2 linked regions of the Stegostoma tigrinum genome follow. The protein of the gene in region 1 interacts with the protein of each later gene in a pairwise test. Links are inferred from orthologs where the notes say so. Each region holds a gene or a part of one and is shown in the gene's direction. Other genes may lie near its edges.

What was found. The genes of interacting proteins can lie anywhere in the genome.
Region 2: the proteins of intersectin-2-like (region 1) and KH domain-containing, RNA-binding, signal transduction-associated protein 1-like interact in a two-hybrid assay, tested with the Homo sapiens proteins (2 studies listed by BioGRID and IntAct, with this or other methods). The link is inferred for Stegostoma tigrinum from reciprocal best matches to the Homo sapiens genes ITSN2 and KHDRBS1.

The regions. Positions count from the first base shown.
Region 1 is NC_081357.1:74,089,777-74,100,385, forward strand, and holds the start of intersectin-2-like, read left to right. Parts: upstream 1-6,041; 5' UTR 6,042-6,196; intron 6,197-10,609.
Region 2 is NC_081377.1:836,609-847,101, forward strand, and holds the start of KH domain-containing, RNA-binding, signal transduction-associated protein 1-like, read left to right. Parts: upstream 1-6,541; 5' UTR 6,542-6,585; coding exon 6,586-6,676; intron 6,677-10,493. UniProt on the Homo sapiens protein: Recruited and tyrosine phosphorylated by several receptor systems, for example the T-cell, leptin and insulin receptors. Once phosphorylated, functions as an adapter protein in signal transduction cascades by binding to SH2 and SH3 domain-containing proteins.

The DNA.
Region 1 (10,609 bases):
AGCTCAGTTGGCTGGGTAGCTGTTCAGTGATGCCAATAACATTGCTTCAATTCCAGTATTTGCTGAAGTTACCATGAAAGATTCTCCTCTCAACCCCTCCCCTTTCCGAAAATGTTATGACCCCCCCATTAAACCACCATCAGTCATTTTTCTCCCTCTAAATAGAGTGTGGGACATTGGCAACTTTTAGTCAAATCAATACATTTGGATAAAGGTAGGAGAAAAAAAATCAAAGACTATAAGCAGAAAAGATGGGGAAACAATAACTCCTACTAAAATGGTTAGAATTTTTTAAAATGGAAGTTTGCCTCCTCTTGATCATTTCTCTACTTTTTTCCCTAGAGATGGGTTCAGAAGTGCAAATCCGTCAGTTTCTGATTTCAATCAGTAATTAAAATGTTGATTGTTTTTTGTCAAATCTTAAATCATAGGTAACTTGACCCCTTGCATGAGCATAGCAAGGATGAATTACCACAACTTCAGGCGGTTACATGGAGCCCAGGTGCTGTATATAATCAGGGCATTTGTAGATGACACAAAAGGTAATCCTCTGGTAAATAGTGAAGAGGAAAGCCTTAGACCACAGGACAATATAGATGGGCTGAACAGTTGTGAATGAAATTTAATACTGAAAACTTTGAGATGATGCTTTTGGGAGGAACAACAAGGCAAGGGATGCAGGTTGAATGTAGAATCGTAGGAAGTACAGAGGATCAGAAGGACCTTGGTATGCATGTCCCTAAATCCTTGATGGCAGCAGGTAGATAGATAAGGTGGTGTAGGGGGAAAGTGGGACACTTGCCTTTATTAGTCAAGGCATTGTACATAAAAGCAAGGAGGTTATGTCAATTCAGAGATAGTAGAAACTGCTGATGCTGGAGAATCTGAGATAACCAGGTGTAGAGCTGGATGAACACAGCAGGCCAAGCAGCATCAGAGGAGCAGGAAAGCTGACGTTTCAGGTCTGGACCCATTTCTGAAGAAGCTCCTCTGATGCTGCTGGGCCTGCTGTATTCATCCAGCTCTACACCTTGTTTTCTGAGGTTATGTCAAAGCTGTTTATAATGTTAGTTGAGCCATGGCTGGAGTACAATGTGCAGTTATGATGACCATTCTAGAGGATAATTACACAATAGAGACATAAAAGAAATTCAGCAGGATGTTGTCTGGGGTGGAGTGAAAAGGCTGAGGTGAGATCTGATTGAGTTCTGAGAGGCAAAGACATCATAGATAGGGATAAACTTTTCCTCTCATTGGAGGGGTAAATAATTAGGGCCACAGATTTAAGATAGGAAACAGAAGGTTTAGAGCGGTTTTGAAGAAAATTTTTTTCATCTAGAGGATTTTGGGTGTCTGGAACTCTCTGCTTGAAAGAATGGTAGAGGCTGAAACCCTCAGAATATTTAAGTAGTTTTTAGATGAACCCCACTTGAAACACCATAGCAGACAAGACCAAGTGCTGTAAAATGGGATTAGAATATATGAATGTTTAATGACCAGCTGTACACACTTTCCAAGCTGTAAAGATTCTATGACACATATGTTGAACTAGGATTAGAAAGGCAACTTACTATCAAAATTAAGAGAAACTTCAGAGTGCTTTTGTGCAGAGATATCTGTTGCAGAAAACAATATGCAGGTACAGCAAGTAATAAGGAAGGCAAGTAGAATTTTGCCATGTATTGCTAAAGGCAAAGAGTATAATAATAGAGAACTGTTGCTACATTACAAGACATTAGTCAGACTGCACCTGGAGTATTGTGTGCAATTTGGTCCTCTTTCTTGAGGGGAGATGTGATTGTATTAGAGACAGTTCAATGGAAGTTCGTTGGATTGATTCCACAGAAGAAAGTCTTAGGAAGAGAGATTGAGCAGTTTAGGCCTAAATTATCCAGAGTTTTAAAAAAATAACAGGTAGTCTAATTCAGATATATAAGATATTAAAGGGGATTTACAAAATAGACACAGAAAGGATGTTTCCTCATGGCATAATTTAGAATGAGAGGTCATAATTTTAGTATAATGAATAACAGATTTAACACAGAAATGAGGAGACATTACTTTTCCCAAAGGACCATGAATCTGTGGAATTCACTATCCCAGAATTAGATTGATGCTGTAACATTCAACAAATTTAAAGAGGATGTAAACAGATTTTTATTTAGTTATGGGTTGAAGTGTTCTGGAGAGCAGGCCGCAAAGTGAAGTTGAGGCTGAAATAAAATCAGCCATGATTGTATCAAATCCTTGCCTACTCCTGCTTCTAGTTCTTATGTGCTCATGTTCTGGCAACGTCAACCTTAACAGTGTGACGTGAATTGCACTGCACTGCACTAGGCAATCTTGTAGTCGGTTGGCTCACTGAACTGGTTTGTTGTTTCGTAGACGTTTCATTACCCTGCTGGGTAATATCATCAGTGCAGCATCCAATGAAGCGCCCTTGTGTTTCCCCCCCTGTTATGTGAACTGTGGAGTTCATTAAGCTGGATTACGAAATGTCTGCGAAACAACGAACCAACTCGGTGAGCCAACCAACTACATCCACAACCCAAGCTCCAAATCTACTTGAAAACGTAGCAATCTTGTTGAATTCCATGTTAAATATTAGAGCTGCCCACTGCTTCTTACATTTTACCTTGCTTCAGATTACTAAATCATGTTTAAACCTTTTCCAAGTAGACATTAAAGCAAGTATTGACTGCAGTTTATGGTGTAAAAGTGAACTGTGGTTGCTCAGTATACAATGCATATTTGTATGATTTGAACTGTTAATTTGGGAAATGGGTCTTTTTTTGAATTGCAGATGGTTGGTTTCATTGTGTAGTATTATCATTGAATCCCCACTTTTCCCATGACAACTTATTGTCCTTTTTCAGATGGGCTCAACTTTGTGCATCTATCTCTACATGTTTAATGAGATGGCCTGAAGAGGTTAGCTAACTTAAGTAACAAATTGTATGAAAGTATTGTTGCAATATGTATTAATTTTGTAGTCTTGCCAGATGTACAGATGCATCTGACCTACTAAAGTTTTTGCTGCTGTTTTGTTTTGCTTTGCTTCTGATACTCCCTTCCCTGAACTTCTGTAATTTTTCACACTGACTTTGTAATGTTGCTGCTGGCCAGTGTCCTCCCTTTCGGAGTACTGCCCTCTTCTGATGTGTTTTAATCTCTATACATGCTGCTTTAGTCTCTGCACTTTTTTAAAAATACTTTTTCAAAACTTGTTTACTCAATGCTAACTCAGTTTGTGACTTATTTTTCATTGATACACAGTTCTTTCTTTGACTTGCTAATTCTCACTTTGCACACTTCTTTATTTGACACACTCAATTTACTTGGAGGAGCATATTTTCTTTAGCATTGCAGTCTCGCTGTGAACTGATCTTAGCATTCAGAGTCACAGAGATGTATGGCATGGAAAGAGACCCTTCGGTTCAAATCATTCATGCTGATCAGATATCCCAAATTAATCAAGTCTCGTATATTGTAACAGCCTCTGTCACTTCTTATGACAGCTCATACCATCACACATACCACCCTTTGTGTGAAAAAGTTGCACTTCAGGTCCCTTTTATGCCTTTTGCCTCTCAACATAAATCTGTGCCCTCTAGATTTGGACTCCCTAACCTCGGAAAAGACCTTGGCTATGCACCCTATCCACGGCCTCATGATTTTATAAACGTCTTCAAGGTCACCCCTCAGCCTCCGACAGTCCAGGGAAAATAGCCCCAGCCTATTCAGCTCCTCCCTATAATTCAAACCCTCCAATCCCGGCAGTATCCTTGTAAGTCCTTTCTGCACCCATGCGAATTTAGCAACATCTTTCCTATAGCATGGGGACCAGAATTGAATGCAATTCTCCAAAAGTGGCTTAACCAATGTCCTGTAAATTTCTTTTTAAATGTTACTTTTTGTGCTGTGTCTTTTGTTTTCCTGCATTGCTGTCATTGGGCATTATTATTATTCACATCAGTTATGCATTGTCCAAGCAGCCAAATGCTTTTAGCCTATATTTGTTTAGACAGGCAGGTAGAACGATGAGAAAATTGTATAGGTAGTGTCTTATAGTCATACAGCACAGGAACAGACCCTTCAGTCCAACTTGTCTGCATCAACCAGATATTCCAATCTGACCCAGTCCCTTTGCCATCATTTGGCCCATTTCCCTCTACACCCTTCTTATTCATATAACTATCCAGATGCCTTTTAAATATTATCATTGTACCAGCCTTCACCACTTCCTCTGGCAGCGTGTTTCAAATGTTACCCCTCAGGTCCTTTTTAAATCTTTCTCCTCTCGCCTTAGACTTATGCCCTCTAGTTTTGGACTCCCCCATCTAGAAAAAAGACCTTGTCTATTCATCCTATCCATGCTGCTCATGATTTTATAAACTTGTATAAAGTCACTCCACAACCCAAGGAAACCTAACCAGATAAATAGAAAGCGGGACATAACACCAGCGCTTTGTCGGAGGCTCACTGATGATGTTACCTAGAATGGTGACGAAACGTCTGAAAACTAACCTTCCAGCTCAGCGAGCAAACTCACATCCAGAACCTCAACCTGAGCTACAAATCTTCTCAAAACTCGCTATCACTCCACAACCTCTGACACTCCAGGGATTTGGTATGCTTACCTTTATTGGTCAGTGCATTGAGTATTGGAATTGAGAGGTCATGTTGTGGCTCTACAGGACATTGGTTTGACCACTTTTGGAGTATTGCATGCAATTCTGGTCTCTCTCCTGTAGAAAGAATGTTGTGAAACTTGGAAGGGTTCAGAAAATGCGTACGAGGATATAGCTAGGGTCAGAGTGTTTGAGCTATAGGGAGAAGTTGAATAGGCTGGGGCTATTTTTCCTGGAATGTCAGAGACTGAAGGGTGACAATATAAAGGCTTATGAAATCATGAGGTAAGTAGATAGGGTAAATAGGCAAGGTCTTTTCCTGGGATTGGGGGATTCCAAAGCTAGACCTCTAGAGGGCAGAGGTATAAAGTCACGTAGGAAAGATATAAAAGGGTCCTAAGGGGCAGCCTTTTCATGCAGAGACTGGTGTGTGTATGGAATGAGCTGCCAGAGGAACTGGTGGAGGCTGGTATGATTACAATATTTAACAGACATCTGAATGGGTATATAAATAGGAAGTTTAGAGGATGTGAGCCACATGCTGGCAAATGGGATTAGATTTATATAGGATGTCTGGTCAACATGGACGATTCTAGTTCTGTGCTGTATATCTCTATGACAACATTCAACTTCTCCCCAGAGCTCAAACCCTCCAGTCCTACCAACATCCTGGTAAATCATTTTTGCATCCTCTCACGTTCAACAACATCCTTCCTATATTTCAGTGTTTTGTAGTGAGGTTACAGTGATAAGGGGTGAGGTCATGGAGGGATTTGAAAACAGGATGCAAATTTTAAAATTCAACTTTTGCAAAACTGGGGACCAGTGTAGGCTGACCAGCAATGGGCATTATTCTTGAGTGGAAGTTCATGCAAGACAGGACAGAGGCATTAATGTTTTGGAATATCTCAAGATTATGAATTGTAGGTGGGGAGGTGATGGTTTAGTGGTATTATTGCTCAACCGTCAACCCAGAGAGCTAGGTAACGTTCTGGGGACCTGGGTTTGAATCCCACCATAGCAGATGGTGGTATTAGAATTCAATTAAAAAAATCTAGAATGGAGAGTCTAACGATGACCACGAATCCATTTTCGATTGTTGGGGATAAAAAAAACTCATCTGATTCACTGACGTCCTTTAGAGAAGGGAAGTGCCGGCATGTGACACCAGACCCAAGGCGATGTGGTTGACTCTCAACAGCCCTCTGAGCAATTAGGGCTGGGCAATGAATGGGGCAATAAATGAATGCCAGAAAAACAGCATGAGAGGCCAGCCAGAAGTCTCTCTCCCTGTCTCCTCCCTCTGTTTTCTTTCTATCTCCACACGCCTATTCTCTGTATCTCCTCCCATTGCCCCCAACCTCTCGTTATCTCCTCCCCAGCCCCGTCTCTCTCTCTCTGTCCCGCCCACCCCCATCTGTTTGTCTGTATCTCCTTCCCCCTCCTCCTGTTTCTGTGCTGAGTTCTCTTCCTGTCTCTCTGGTTGTCAGCGCCATGTTACTGTTCTGACCGCGGATCAGCAACAAGTCTCCGGAGGAGGGCCGGACAGGAGCCTGCGGGAAGAGGTGAGTGAGACTGGGCACCGGCGCCGGGCCGGAGGGGAGGCTGTGCAGGGAGACCCCGGGGCCGGAGGCTGCCTGCCCGGACACTCCAGGCCTCAGTTTCCCCCTCCCCCGGACGGACCGGACCGTCACCGTCCGGCAGGTGTCGGGGACAGTGACCGTCCTCGGGCCCGACGAAACCACTCCGTATGGCGGATTCCAGCCTTGGATCGTTATCTGGGGCTGGGAATTAAAGGGCAACGACTGGGGCTTGGTTTGTGTATGAACAAGAAATGGTTATTGTTTGGGGTGTACGGGAATAAGTTCAGGCTTGTCATTTCAGTCTGTTTTCTGTTTTGACATTCACAAACGGGCAGCTTGGTCACTCAAGTTCACCGCAGAATCGGCGAGGCTGGTCGTTTTCCCAGGCTGGCCAGTGGCTCAGTATCTTAACCAGCTGGTCAATTTCCTTACAGTATTGTACCTTACCAGATTAGTGAGGACTTAGTACCATTTAAACACTGATCGTACATGTTGAAATGCTACAGTCAGCATACATGAATATTTCAAAATTTGGTATATTTGTATTGATTTTTAGAAAATATGAGCATTCCTGGGCAACATTGTTAGGAAAATGCAGACAGGTTTCTTGGTCACGGATCTTGTTCCATCAGAACAGGATAATTATGAGCCCTGAATTCAAGTCCCACGTGCTACAGAAGTGTGTAATAACATCTCTGAACAGGTTGATTAAAAATATCTACATCTGTGGCCACAAGGGGTCCTGTGGCATTTGACAGTGTCCTTACCTCTGGGACAGAAGGTTCAAGTCCTGCCTGTCCTGGGGGTTTGTCACAACATGTCTGAACAGGATGATTAGAAATAACTACACCTGTGTCCTCAAAGATGGGATCAGACTTGGCTGTGATGCATCACCTGTCCTTTAAGATGTCCCTCCATCCATCCATCTGCAAGGTTGGCATGTAGTATGTGGTCACTCATTTTCTGGCCTTACATGTGATGGAATATCCCCTCGTGTTTTGCTGGAGGTTCCACCACGTGATGAAACTGGCAGTTTTTTGTCATATTAGAAAAGTTCGGACATTTGAAGTCAAGTACCTTGGCTTCAACTATATAGTTTAAAAGTACCTTTTGTTATTAAATACCCATTTCTCACTGTTTATAGTGTAGGAATTTAGAATCCAAGATAGAGAATTCTTAAGAGTGGGAGTAACCGGTCATATATATTGTATTATTAAATTAACTAACCCTGTGAACTGCAAAATTTCTCCCCCTGCTATTTTGTGTGGATTTTCCCAAGTGAAAACATGGAAAAAGTGTCAAATGCTAAAAAAGGCATTGCTGAGCCTTTATTTCTATTTTGAAGTAGCTTACAGTAAGGCTGCCAGCAGCAGTTTTTCTGTGAACAATCACGATATGGAATCAATACAAATTGTGTTTTGTGACGTAGACAATACCTGCCCAGTGGAGGAAGTCTTGTGACATCATGAATTGAAATTTTATTTTCAGTGGCTTAACATCCTGTTTCAAATCCTGAATCTGGCTGAGTTTGTAATATCAGATATTTCCCTATAACCATGATAACCTGAAAGAATGATCGCCATTGTTCAGTAAATTATATAGAGTTCTCTGTGACGGTGTAGAATTGACTTAATCCACTCAACTGTCGTGGCAGTAGGTTAGTTGGAGCTGTCTATGGCTGTTGAATCGTTGTGGGAGGGGCAGGGTTGGAATGCTGGTAAGTTTTCAAGTGCTACTGATTTGGATATTTTGAGTTGTTAAAGTACCAATTAATTGACTCGAATGAGATTTGTAATGTACTAATGAAATTAGGCCTGTAGGTGTCTGAAACTGTAAGTCTAAAGTTGAGCTTGTTTTCTTAAAAATCATGTAAAATCTGAAAATTAGCCTTTTAAAGTGACTTCAAAGCTATTATTTTTCAATAATAATAACATAGCACAAATTGCAATATAAAACTCGTGGATAGAGTAATGATTGGTATTGGCAGAACACAAGATAATTTTGGCTGGATGGCTGATTTGCGATGCACTGTGATGCCAACAGCATTGGTTCAGCTCCCACACTGGCTGACGTTACCGTGAGCAATTCTGCTTCTCGACCTCTCCCTTCATCTGAGACATGCTGACCCTCTGGTTAAATCACCACCAGTCGTCTCTCCCTACTGAGATAATCCTATTGCCTGGTAGGACGACAGCAACTTTATGTTTGCTTGATTTAGACATTGGCAGGAATAATGGAATGTGTACACTAAAACAATGTCAACTGCTCAATCTTCCACAATTTTCCTTTGGTCAAGTAAAGTCAACCAAAACTACTTCACTGTCTACCATTCGATTCTTCATTACATGACTGAGCACTTTGCCAGTGTTTTGAAATTGTACGAAAAAAATTCACTATTTAAGTTGAGATAATCTGCTTAAATTCTTGTTTGAGGTTCTCGAAGATAAGGTTTGATTTTACTTCATGAATGTTGATCTTTGCAGATTCAATTTTACTGTCCTCATAATAGGCTCATGACACTTATTTATGCATTAAAATTCACTTTTGTTTCATTCATATCTCTCTTCTAGCTCTCGATTCAATCCCGCTTTCACCTGAATTCCCTGTACTGGATTCTGTATTGAATCCTATTTTTACTTATTTCCTTTTCAGCTTTTATGCTAAGTTCTCAGTTGTTCAATTTGATTGATTAATGAGCTACCCATCTGCTGGCTCTGTTCACCTACATCTGAGGTGGTCTGCTTGCTTCACTATGCTGTTATCACCTTACTTATTCAATATTATATAAAGAAAGGTGTAAAGTTAGACTAATATCAGGTGTCATTGGGTGTTCGGGTACTAGAAGATTTGTTCCATACTACCATATGTATGACGAAAGGATTTGCATAATTGGTCTTACAAGGATTATTTTTGGAAAGATATGCTGTGATATTCATTAGAATTTGTATGCTACACCAATTCCATGTCTTTCACTGTTCCATTGTCTGTTACAACTTTTCAAAAAAGTTAATGTTCCGGGATAGTACGGTTGGTGTCTCAAATATGTTTGCCTCGGTTCTATATGGCAATATATTTTGTTATAATGTCCATCTGTCATGCAACAGATATTGTGTGTCAGATTCCATACTTTATTACAAGTAATACACCTTTAAGACAAACAAAATAAGCTGTTGACCTGAAAATTTGTTCATGCTCAGAGATAATGGGAACTGCAGATGCTGGAAAATCCAAGATAACAAAGTGTGGGGCTGGATGAACACAGCAGGCCAAGCCTCATCTTAGGAGCACAAAAGCTGACGTTTTTGTGTCCTAGTCCTCACATACCACCCTACCAACCTCCGGATACAACACATCATCCTTCGACACTTCCGCCATCTACAATCCGACCCCACCACTAAAGACGTTTCTCCCACCCCACCCTTGTCTGCCTTCCGGAGAGACCACTCTCTCCGCGACTCCCTTGTCCGCTCCACACTCCCCTCCAACCCCACCACACCCGGCACTTTCCCCTGCAACCGCAGGAAGTGCTACACTTGCCCCCACACCACCCACCTCACCCCATCCCAGGCCCCAAGATTACTTTCCACATCAAGCAGATTTTCACCATGCTCATCTGCCAATGTGGTATACTGCATCCACTGTACATGGTGTGGCTACCTCTACATTGGGGAAACCAAACGTAGCCTTATGGACTGCTTTGCAGAACACCTACGCTCGGTTCGCAGTAAACCACTGCACCTCCCAGTTGCGAACCATTTCAACTCCCCCTCCCATTCCTTAGATGACATGACCATCCTGGGCCTCCTGCAGTGCCACAATGATGCCACCCAAGGTTGCAGGAACAGCAACTCATATTCCACTTGGAACCCTGCAGCCCAATGGTATCAATGTGGATTTCACCAGCTTCAAAATCTCCCCCCACTGCATCACAAAACCAGCCCAGCTCATCCCCGCCTCCCTATCCTGTCGTTCCTCTCACCTATCCCCTCCTCCCACCACAAGCCTCCCCTCCGTTTCCTACCTACTAACCTCATCCCCCCCCCCTTGACCTGTCCGTCCTCCCCAGACTGACCTATCCCCTCCCTGCCTCCCTACCCGTACTCTCCTCTATTCATCTTCAGTCCATCTCCCCCCTCTCCTTATTTATTTCAGAAACCTCTCCCCATCCCCCTTTTTCTGATGAAGGGTCTAGGCCCGAAATGTCAGCTTTTGTGCTCCTGACATGCTGCTTGTGTTCATCCAGCCCCACACTTTGTTAATTTGTTCATGTTCGTCAGGTTAACTTCATTGCTTTCTAAGTAGATTTAATAGTTTGCTCTTGATATGCAAATCGAAATGTCTATAAAAGCCAAGGTCAAATTAACAGCTAAACATGAAATATTGGAGTGTGAAATA
Region 2 (10,493 bases), on another chromosome or scaffold:
CGAATACTGTGAGTAGTTCTGGTCTCTGAGAAGATGTATAGGAAATTTACGAAAATGAATCGAGGGGTGAGGTAGTTTAGCTACAAGATTAGTGTCATACTAAATTTATGCAAGTCATGTTATGAATTTTCAGTCAATTCTTTGAAAAATTAGACACAAACAAGGTTTTAAAATGGCTGCTGAAAATTACATTACCTTTGGCGTTTAAACACCGTACCATACCAAGTCTCTGGCAAATAACTAAATAAATATAGCCATACAAATATATAAATAAGGAGCAAAAATATGCCTTTGACCCCATGGGATTATTCCATCATACAATAAAATCCTGCCTGATCTATCCGTTTTGAATTTCACAATCCAATCCATGCCCAATTACCTCTGACTCCCCCGTTGGAAGATTATGGGAAGTCAACGGTCCAATGGCACTACCAGTAGACCTTTAATGCAGAGAACCCAGGTAATGTTCTAAGGATTTGGGTGCAAATCCTGCCATGGCAGATGATGTAATTTGAATTCAATAAAAAAATACTAAAATTAAGAGTCTAATGATAATCATGAAACCTTTGCCAATTGTCAGGAAAAGCCCATCTGGCTCACTAAAGTCCTCTCAGAAAGGAAAACATTGTCCCTACTTGGGCTTATCACAATGGATCATTACCCTAAACACCACTCTACTTTGAAGGAACACAATGGGATTTTTAATATCCACCTGAGAGGATTAATGTTTAATGTCACAACAGAAAGACAGCACTCTCAGTTGCGCATTGGAACAGTAGCAATGATTTCTGAGCTTAAACCCTTGAGTTGGATTTGAACCTGGAAACTTGTGATTCAGGGATGACAGTGCTACCCATGGAGTCACAGCTGATACAAGCAGAGTCAGTGAGCAGGGATAGGACACAGAACATTAATAGTGAAAAGTGACAAGACAACCCGAAGTAAAAGCCTGTGGGGACCTGTGAGGGGATGGAGTGGAACCTTGTGCCAAGTGGATCATGAGCCATCAGTGGTTGAGCTGTTTAGCAGAGGTAAACAATGGCTTACAGCAGCAGAATAATATTGCCACAGAGAGACAGAGCACAGGGCTTAGGTAGAGCCAAAGGGTGGGCACATCTGAAGGAGCTGGTCTAAGGAGGCAAGGTGACAAGCCAGTCCCAACCAAACCAATGGAAGATGAAGAGTGGTTCTGAGGGATAGCTGGTGTCAGCAGCTACCGGTTGCAAATGGAAACCAAAAAAGGAAAGAGGATCAGTTACCAAGGCAACAGGATTCAAAGCAGGCTTGCACCCATCGGAAACTTATCAAAGTTTGCTGCATGAGCATTGAAAAATTCCTTTCTGTTGATCGCAACATTGAGTGTGCAAGAGCAAAGCAGCAGAGTGGCAGTCCATAATATCTATTTGCAGATTGCAGACTCTCATTATCCAGAACAAAGGGCCTTCCATTTCCCACAGTAGCTATCTGTGTGCCAAATTCCTATTCTCGGTATATCCCAACACCCACCCTGCCCGCTGCCAGTGTGGCGAACAGGCAGCTTTTCTGAAACAAATGGGAGTTTTGTGTAGAGTTACTATGGTATGTAGGTGAAGCCATGTCTCCCAGCCTCTTAGACTTCCAATTTTCAGCCTGATCACGTGCGGAGAAAACGTTCATGATTGACAACTCCTCATTTTCATACCTTACTATAATATCAATAAACCAATAAACATCAGTGTTCTCCTGCTGTCTTAAGGTGGATGATCAACTGTGATCATATCGAATGGTGGAGCAGATTTGAAGGGCTGAATGGCTCACCCTTGCTCCTGTTTTCTATGTTTCTACATTTTAATATTTCATTTAAAAATACTGTTGCTCTAATTCCTGAAGTACTCTCAAGCTGTGACTTTTTGAAGGGTTGCTGTTTTCTAAACATCTCCATCTTAGTTAATCTATTGCTTATTTTACAAAAAGCCTGTACTGTGTATTGCTCCTATTAGTAAATAAACTACCTATAAATTATAAATCCAAACCCATGACAATGGTTGCTGCAAAGCCTTTGCTTTTGGTTGTACAATCATCCGTGACAGAACAATCTCACATCGGTTGTTCATGAATAGTTCATTAAGAGATAAGTGTATTTTGGCAGGAAAAATTCTGCCTTGACACACGGCCAGGCTTTGCTCCAGTAAAACGGCTCCTTGGGATTACAATCTCCAAAGGATTTAGGGACACACCCAAACATAGGCGGCTCAGTGATTAGCACTGCTGCCTCACAGCACCAGGGGCCCGGATTTGATACCATCCTTGGGCGACTGTCTGTGTGGAGCTTGCACATTCTCCCCGTGTCTGCGTGGGTTTCCTCCAACAGCCCAAAGTGTGCAGGCTGGGTGGATTGGCCATGCTAAATTGCCCACAGTGTTCAGGGATGTGCAGATTGGGTAGGTTATGGGGAGATAGGTCTTGGTGAGATGCTCTGAGGCTTGATGTGGACTTGTTGGGCCAAAGGGCCTGTTTCCACACTGTAGGGATTCTATGAAACAGTTGTGCGTGGGAAGTGGTTAGGGAAGAAGCAGAGAAATAGATTAGACATGGTTGAGGGTTCTGTTGACCATGGTGGCAGGGAATCCTTGGTTGAGGAAAATATTGGACATCTGAAGGCCTCTCCACCCTGCGGAAGGTGGCATCAGACCAGATGCAACATATGGAGAAACTGGGAGAATGAAACAGAGTCCTTACAGAAGGTGAGGGTGTGTTTGGCGAAGGTAACTGCGAGTTAATGGGCTTCTAATGGATAACAGTGACCAGCATATTGTTGAGACCATCTTATTTTTCTATTATTCTTCTTCAATTTTAGTTTGTAACTGAGTTCCAGTTGAACAGCGCTTGTTTTAGAACGTGACAGAAGAAATCCTCCTCATCTCAGTCTTATATTGAGGCTCATATATTCTGAGACTGTGTCCTCTTGTCGTAGGCTCTCCCACAAGGGGAACATCCTCCTAACATTTAACCTGTCAAACCCATTAAGAATTCCAGGTCATCAATTATCTGGATGACATGTTAATAACTGGGAAAACCAATAAAGGCCTAGTGTTTGACTGTTTCTCCAAGGCAGAGATACTCCTTAGGAGGAAAAAATGGATATTCCACACACCCAAGTGTTCTACTTGGGCTACAGAGTCGACAAGATCAGGTTACCTGTTGTAAGATACAGTGAAGGCGATCAAAGGTGCCCTGGCTCACATGTCTGTACCAGAGCTTTCCTTGTGTTGGTGAATTATGACGGAATATTCATGTGCAACCTGGCCTCCATCCTGGCACCCTGACACCTGCTGTTGAAAAGGGGTCAGCCTTGGAAATGGTCTCAGAGTCAAGATGTAGCCTTTAAAGAAGTGAAAAAACAGCTATGGTCATCTAAGGTGTTGGCAACTACAATCCCAAGCAAGATATGGTGCTGACATATGGTATCTCCCCAAAGAGTAACGGGGTGGTGTTGGCTCACAGATGGCCTAATTGAGAGGAAAGCTCAACAGCATATACTTCCTGAAGTCTGGCTGATGCAGAGCGCAAATACGCCCAGATAGAGAAGGCAGGCTTGGCGGTCACCTTTGATGTGAGGAAGTTCCACCAATATTTTTATGAATGTAAATTTGTAATAATAACAGTATACAGCTACTCAAAGAGGACAAGGCTTCAGGTTGAATTCAGTGGTGGGCTCTATTCTATGTACACATAATTATAAGTTGGAACACCATCTAGGAGGACAAGTAGCAAATGCGGATGCCTTCAACCACCTCCTATTGGCAGGTACACCACCAATGATGGTGCCACTACAACAGACTGTTCTGGTTTTAAACTTTCTGGACACCCTTCAGGTTACTGCTGACAATATCCAACTATGAGCACGAAAAGATCCCATCCTAGCAAAACTAAAACAGCTGGTAGCGATGGGGGAAACAAAAGGGCCAATATAACCAGAACTGAAACCTTCTGGACCACACAAGGCCGCATTGTTCTGAGCAGAAATTGCTGCCAGATATTGGCTGAGATCCACCTGTGTTAGCCTGGAGTTTCCAAAATTAAGATGTTGGCGAGATGTTATGTCAAGTGGCCAGGATTGGATGCAGACGTAGCTACAATGGTCCGGCAATGCTCAGAATGCCAAGAAGGATAAAAATTACTGCCAGCAACTCCATCACATTTATGGGAATGGCCATGTAAACAATGAACTCCGTTACATGTCGACTATGCTGGTCCTTTCATAACCCTCTGCTTTTAGTGATTGTGGATGCCTATTCAAAGTGGTTGGACATGCATAGAGTTCATTCATCAAACACTGGGACGATGACTGAAAAGTTAAAAGTATCTTTTGCAATACATGGGCTCCAGGAGGTGTTGGTCACAGATAACAGGCCATTATTTACCAGCAGAGAATTTAAATATTTTCTAAAGGTGAATGGCACTCGGCATGTAAGGAAAGCTCCAAGTCACCTATTATCCAATGCTCTCGTGAAAAGAGCAGTCCAAACCTCGAAGACAGGCTTAAAGAAGCAGCCTACTTTATGCCAAACTGTCCTGTTCCTGTTTGATTATAGGACCACCACTCATGTAAATAAAGGGACAGCTCCAGCAGAGTTGCTTATGGGGTGAAGACTCTGCACCAGTTTACATCTGACTGGGGGCAGGGAGATGAGTTTTGGCTGAGACGCTCGGACCCAAGAGGTGAGCTATGGCCTGGTATACCTTGCCAGTATCTAAGGCAGAGTCAGAGAACCGGGCCTGGAGCAAAAATTCCACAAGCAAAGCTGCAGGAAAAAGAACGGGCCTAAGTCCCAGCACCTAGGGAAGTGGGAGGGGGGAGATGGGTGTAGTGGCTGGAAGTAGGTCAGCCAAGTGGATCTAATTGAATATGTGTTTGCTGATTAGGGCTGCTAACCAGGTTCAATCAGGGAGTCCTGGCTGACAGACATAAATAGAAGCGTCAGGGTTTCTGCTCATTTTAAGAGCCAGCACTGAACTAACTGAGTCAGTGTTTTTTTTAGATTAGATTTCTTACAGTGCAGAAGCAAGCCCTTCGGCCCAAAAAGTCCATACCGCCCCTTGAAGCATCCCACCAAGACCCATCCCCATCCCCCACAACCCTGAACACTACGGACAATTTTGCATGGCTGATCCACCTAGCCTGCACATCTTTGGACTGTGGAAGGAAACCGGAGCACCCGGAGAAAACCCACGCAGACACGGGGAGAATGTGCAAACTCCATACAGACAGTCACCCGAGGCTGGAATTGAACCCACGTCCCTGGCACTGTGAGGCTGCAGTGCTAACCAGAGTTAGGTAACGTGCATGTGTAATTAAAAGGTGACTTGGAGATGGAATGCCAGCATCATGGAATTATCTTATCCCTGGCTCTCGCTCCCTCACTCTCTTCCACCAGTTCACTCATTTTCCTAAAATTTCTCTCCATCTCTCTGCCTCTCCCTCTCTTTCTATCTTTCCATCTCGCTGTCCTTCAAACTTCCTCAGTTTTGTCCTTTTTCTCATCCTGGTTTCTCTCCCCCCCCCCCCCCCCATTCTCTCTCAATCTTCCCATCCCCCAAAGCCCATCCTTCTTCTCTCCTCACCCCCGTATTTCTCTCCACCCTAATCTATTTTTCCACCATGATCTCTCTCTCTCTCTCTCTTCTGCACATCCTCCCATCCCTGCACTCGCTGTCCTCTGTTCCCCTCTTCTCCACGCTCACCTCTCGGGTGCACACCCTCTCCTCCACACCCACCCCAGGCAGTCTCACTACTCCTTGCGCACGCCGCCCCCCCCCCCCCCCCCCGACCCGTCTTCTCCACATTCTCCCAATGGTCTCTCTCCTCTCCCAAACTTTCTGTGCTCTCTCCCCTCTCCATTTCCCACCCCCTGTGTACGGTCCCTCTTTTCCACACGCCTCTCCTCCTCCTTGACACCTGTCCAGGGTCCCCTTCCTTCCACGACCCTCACCATCGCAGCAGACCCTCCCCCGGCCGCCGCCGCCAACATGGTCATCCTCCTCCACAATCATGACTCCCATGGTACCTGTCCTCCACCACCCACCTCCCGGATGATCTCTGTCCTTCACACCAGCCGCCCTTTCACGTGTGCCCCTACGTGGTCTATCTACTCCATGATCCCGCGTCTTGGTTCCCCCACTGAGATCTCTATCCTCCAGCTGGTCCGTCTGTATCCTCCACTGTATCCTCGCCCAACCCTCTCCTTCTATTCCCCCCGTTTTCTGAACCTACTCTCCCCCCTACAACGGTCGGAGAGGGGGGCGGAACAGGGTGGCCTCCAGTAGGTTGTTTGGCATTCCTGTTGATACCAGTTGGCGGGGAAGCTCTATGATTGGCAGGTCAGCCAGCCATCGAGCTAGCGGGAAATAAGAGCGGGAGACGGTGTCATCGATATGGGTGGGATAATATATGATTGACAGTTACCTAAGCGCGTAGGTATGGAGAATGCCTCCGATGGACAGCTATGTGGCCAATGGGAGCTCAGGGGTGGGACTCACCATCAGGCAGTCGGCAGTTGCTGCGCAGGCGCATTGTCGGTGTGCGAGGAAGCGGAGTGAACGGCCATGGCGAATGAGAAATATCTGCCCGAACTTATGGCGGAGAAGGACAGTCTGGACCCGTCCTTCGTCCATGCAAGCAGGTTACTGGCTGCAGGTAAAGAGTAGGGCTCTGCCAGTGCTGTGTGGGCGGGATTTGGAGCTTTAGGTTCAGGTCTGCGATGGCCTCCGGGCCTGTACTTCGTCGCCTCGGCCCCGTGGAGAACAAAGGGCGGAGCGTGGGGGAGGGGTGGGGGTTCGAAACCGATCCCGAAATCACCCCGATTCGTGCTGTTCGTCGTCGTCCCCCCCCCCAATCCCTACTGCTAGTTCCCGATCCTCAATCTCCGGACTATTCTTGCTTTTCTAGATTACTAATTAATGATGTAGACATTGGTGCAAATGACAGAATCTGCAGGCGAAAAGAAATTTTAAAGCAGTGTAATTTGGGGAACGTGATGTAGAACTTCTAAAGGATGTAGACAAGTGGTTCAGTGAGGAGAAATGCGAAGAGTTTTTGTTGGAAGGCCATGGAGTGCACTGTAAAATGAAGGGCAGTCACCTTACGGTGTTTCAGGAGCAGAGAGACCTGCGTGTATACTTGCAGAGGACCTTAAATGTTGCAGACAAGTTGAGAGCTTGGCTAATAAGTCATAATGGTATCCTAGGTTTTTTTTGCAGGGGCATATAGTTGAGGAGCAAGAAGTAGATGTTGAACCAGCATGGGGCACATGTTTGTCTTCCTGGCTGGAGAATTGTCTAGTTCTGCACTTTAGAAGGCATGCAAAGGTACTGCCAAGGGTGCAGAAAAGAGTAATGAGAATGGTCTCAAACAACAGGACTTTCTGCGTGTAAATGTATTGAAGAAATTAAGGCTGTTTATCGTAAAGGAAAGAAGATTGAGAGAACATCTGTTGGACCCCTCCAAATCATTGACATGCTTAAGAGCATTGTGTTCAGTTCTGATCGCCACATTATGGCAAGGATGTGATGGCTTTGCAGAGGGTGCAGCAGAGGTTTACAGGGATGTTACCTGGATTGGAGGATATGAGCTGTAAGGAAAAAGTAGAAAAATTCGGGTGGTTTTCTCTGGAGCAGCAGAGGCTGAGGGGATACTTGATAGAAGTCTGTAAAATTGATTTCGTGGATAAGGTTGATGTTCAGAATCGTGTTTTCCAGAGTTACAATGTCTAATGCTAGAGGCCTGTATTTAAGGGTACGGGGGAATGTTCAAAGGACATGTGAGGGGCAGTTTTTTTTTACACAGTGGTAGCAGTCTCGAATGCACTGCCTGGAGTGGTGTTGAAGGCAGACATGTTGAGGCCATTTAGGAGACTTCTAGGTAGGTGTATGACCATGTGACGAATGGAGGGATATGCAACAAGGGCAGGCAGAAGGGATTAGTTTTATTTGTCATCATGTTCGGCATAGGATCAAGACTGAGAAGGCATAGATTTACATTTTCTTTTGAAAAGCAACGAGAAAAACCTTTCCAAGTAGAAAATGTTTTGGATATGGAATACTCTGCCTGTGTTGTAGGCACGTTCAATTGAGGCATTTAAATGTGAGTTATTTATTTGAAACAGTGAGTTTTGAGAAGATTTGTAGCTCAGGTTGAGGTTCTGGATGTGGGTTTGCTCGCTGAGCTGGAAGGGTGGTTTTCAGACGTTTCGTCACCATTCTAGGTACCATCATCAGTGAGCCTCCGAAACGCTGTGTTACGTCCTGCTTTCTATTTATCTGTTTAGGTTTCCTTGGGTTGGTGATGTCATTTCCTGTGTTGGTGATGTCATTTCCTGTTTCTTGAAGCAGTGAGCAGGGTTGCAAGGAGATGGCACAGTGCAATTCTCATTCATAGAGCCAGGGCTGACATGGTTGGGTAAATGCTGTGTCTTGCAGTCTAGACATGTCGTGTGGACTTGGGACATTATCGTTTGAGAATATAAAACTCATGATTGTGGTATAGATGACTACTTCTTAACCAGTGCTGTAATGCTTTGAGGTTTGAAACAAACAAAAATACATTGCTGGCAAAACACAGCATGTCTGACAGCATTTGTGGAGAGAAAACGGAGTCAATGTTTTGAGTTATATGACACTTACTGCGGTTATTTGTGGTATATTCTATCTTAACAAACGAACTAAGTCCAAAGGTATACCATAAATTATGGGATGAGGGCATTGAAGGCTCGGGTGTATTTATTGCCCATCCCTCAATGCCCAGCGGGCGGTTCAGAGTTGGCCACATTGCTGTGGTTCTGGAGTCACGTAGTCCAGACCAGGTAAGAATGGCACTTTGTTTCCCGTAAGGGCATTAGTGAACCAAATGGGTTTTTATGACAATTGACAATGGATTCTGTAATTCCAGACATTTATTGAATTCAAATTCCACAATCTGCCGTGGCAGGATTTGAATCTGGATCCCCAGAACGTAATCTAGGTCTCTGGATTAACAGTCTAGCGATAATACCTCTAGGTCACTGCCTCCCCAGTGTATTTCATATAATCTAAAATTGTTTGTTTTTTTTTAAATGAATTTTAATTGTATGAGGTTTCTGTTGACAGTGTTTTTATTTAACTGTGTTTATTGGCTAATCGGAAGGATTTAGTTGTTGCTTTAGTGTCTGCCGCTACTTGGGTTGAGTTCAAATCCCTCTCCAGGACTGAGACATTGAAATAGTCTACTGCTATAGTATAGTATTGAACAGTACTGGAGTCATTGTCTTTAGGAGGTGGTAAACTGAGGCTTCTTCTGGTCCCTCGGGTAGATGCTAGTTTGACTATTTTTAAGGTTTCAATGGTAGCCATGATGTGGAGGTGCTGGTTTTGGACTGGGTGCATAAGATAAAAATCATACAACACCTATATAAACTATAATCTGTGATTTTTGACTGTTTTGAAGATCAGGGGTGTTGTACCAAATGCTAATATGTAACCTTCCATTAATGTCACAAACCGTCAACCAGCACTATATCATTATTGCTGTTTGTGGAGTTGATATGCACGTTAGCAGTGAATCTCTTTGGGATATATTGGGTTTTACAATGTGATAGAGAAATGTAAACCTTTCTGGAGACTGGTAATTAGGATTTGAGTTAAAATGTTAGCTAGAAATTGTTTTAAACAGAAACTGCAGGAACTCCACGTTAAATGAGAATCTGTTCTGTCCTTGGTTATTGCTTTAGATTGCATTAATTTGCAGACGCTTCAGTGAGTTGACAGGTATATTCTGTGCAGCAGGTGTGGGTATTAAGTTTGGGTAAAGATATATCTTTTAACTTAATATGTGATTCTAGAAGTGCCTAGAAACACAGAGTGGGAATTTGTGTGGTGTCTGAAGAAATGTGTAGTAGCTATCATGCAGGAAGAATGAATAATACAGTGTAAGAATAAATATTTGCGGTTTTATTTTTCAGAAGTTTCATGTGTGGTGACTTTGCTTGGCACTTTACCAAGCTTCAGTGCAAGTTTGTGCCTTCAGAGTTTAAAGTAGATAAATGATCAAAGCTAGAGCATAAATATAAACATAGAAGGGGCAAGGCTTTATACAAAGGTGAACTAGAGATCCAGTGCAAGATTTAAAAGCCAGTACACTGTCTTGCATTCCTGGGACTGTGGGAATGTCATTAATTTTCAATGTCACATTAAACGTTGGTGATGTGATGAGTTTATGCTGTGTTGCAGACCAACATAGGCTTTCAGCTAGAGTGAATTCATTTCTAATTGTAAACACCTAGTCAGTGCAGTAATCAGGAGACTATTTTAATGTTGTAACTGTATAGTGATCTTACATCTATTGAAGTAATCATGTTGTCTAGGGCAGGAAGTCTTCTGGTTCTTGCATGATTTGTGTCAAATTTATATCTCAAGTCATGTGTGAAAATACCACTTCAAATATTTGTGCCCTGTGAGAACTGAAGTTTGCTGTAACTGTA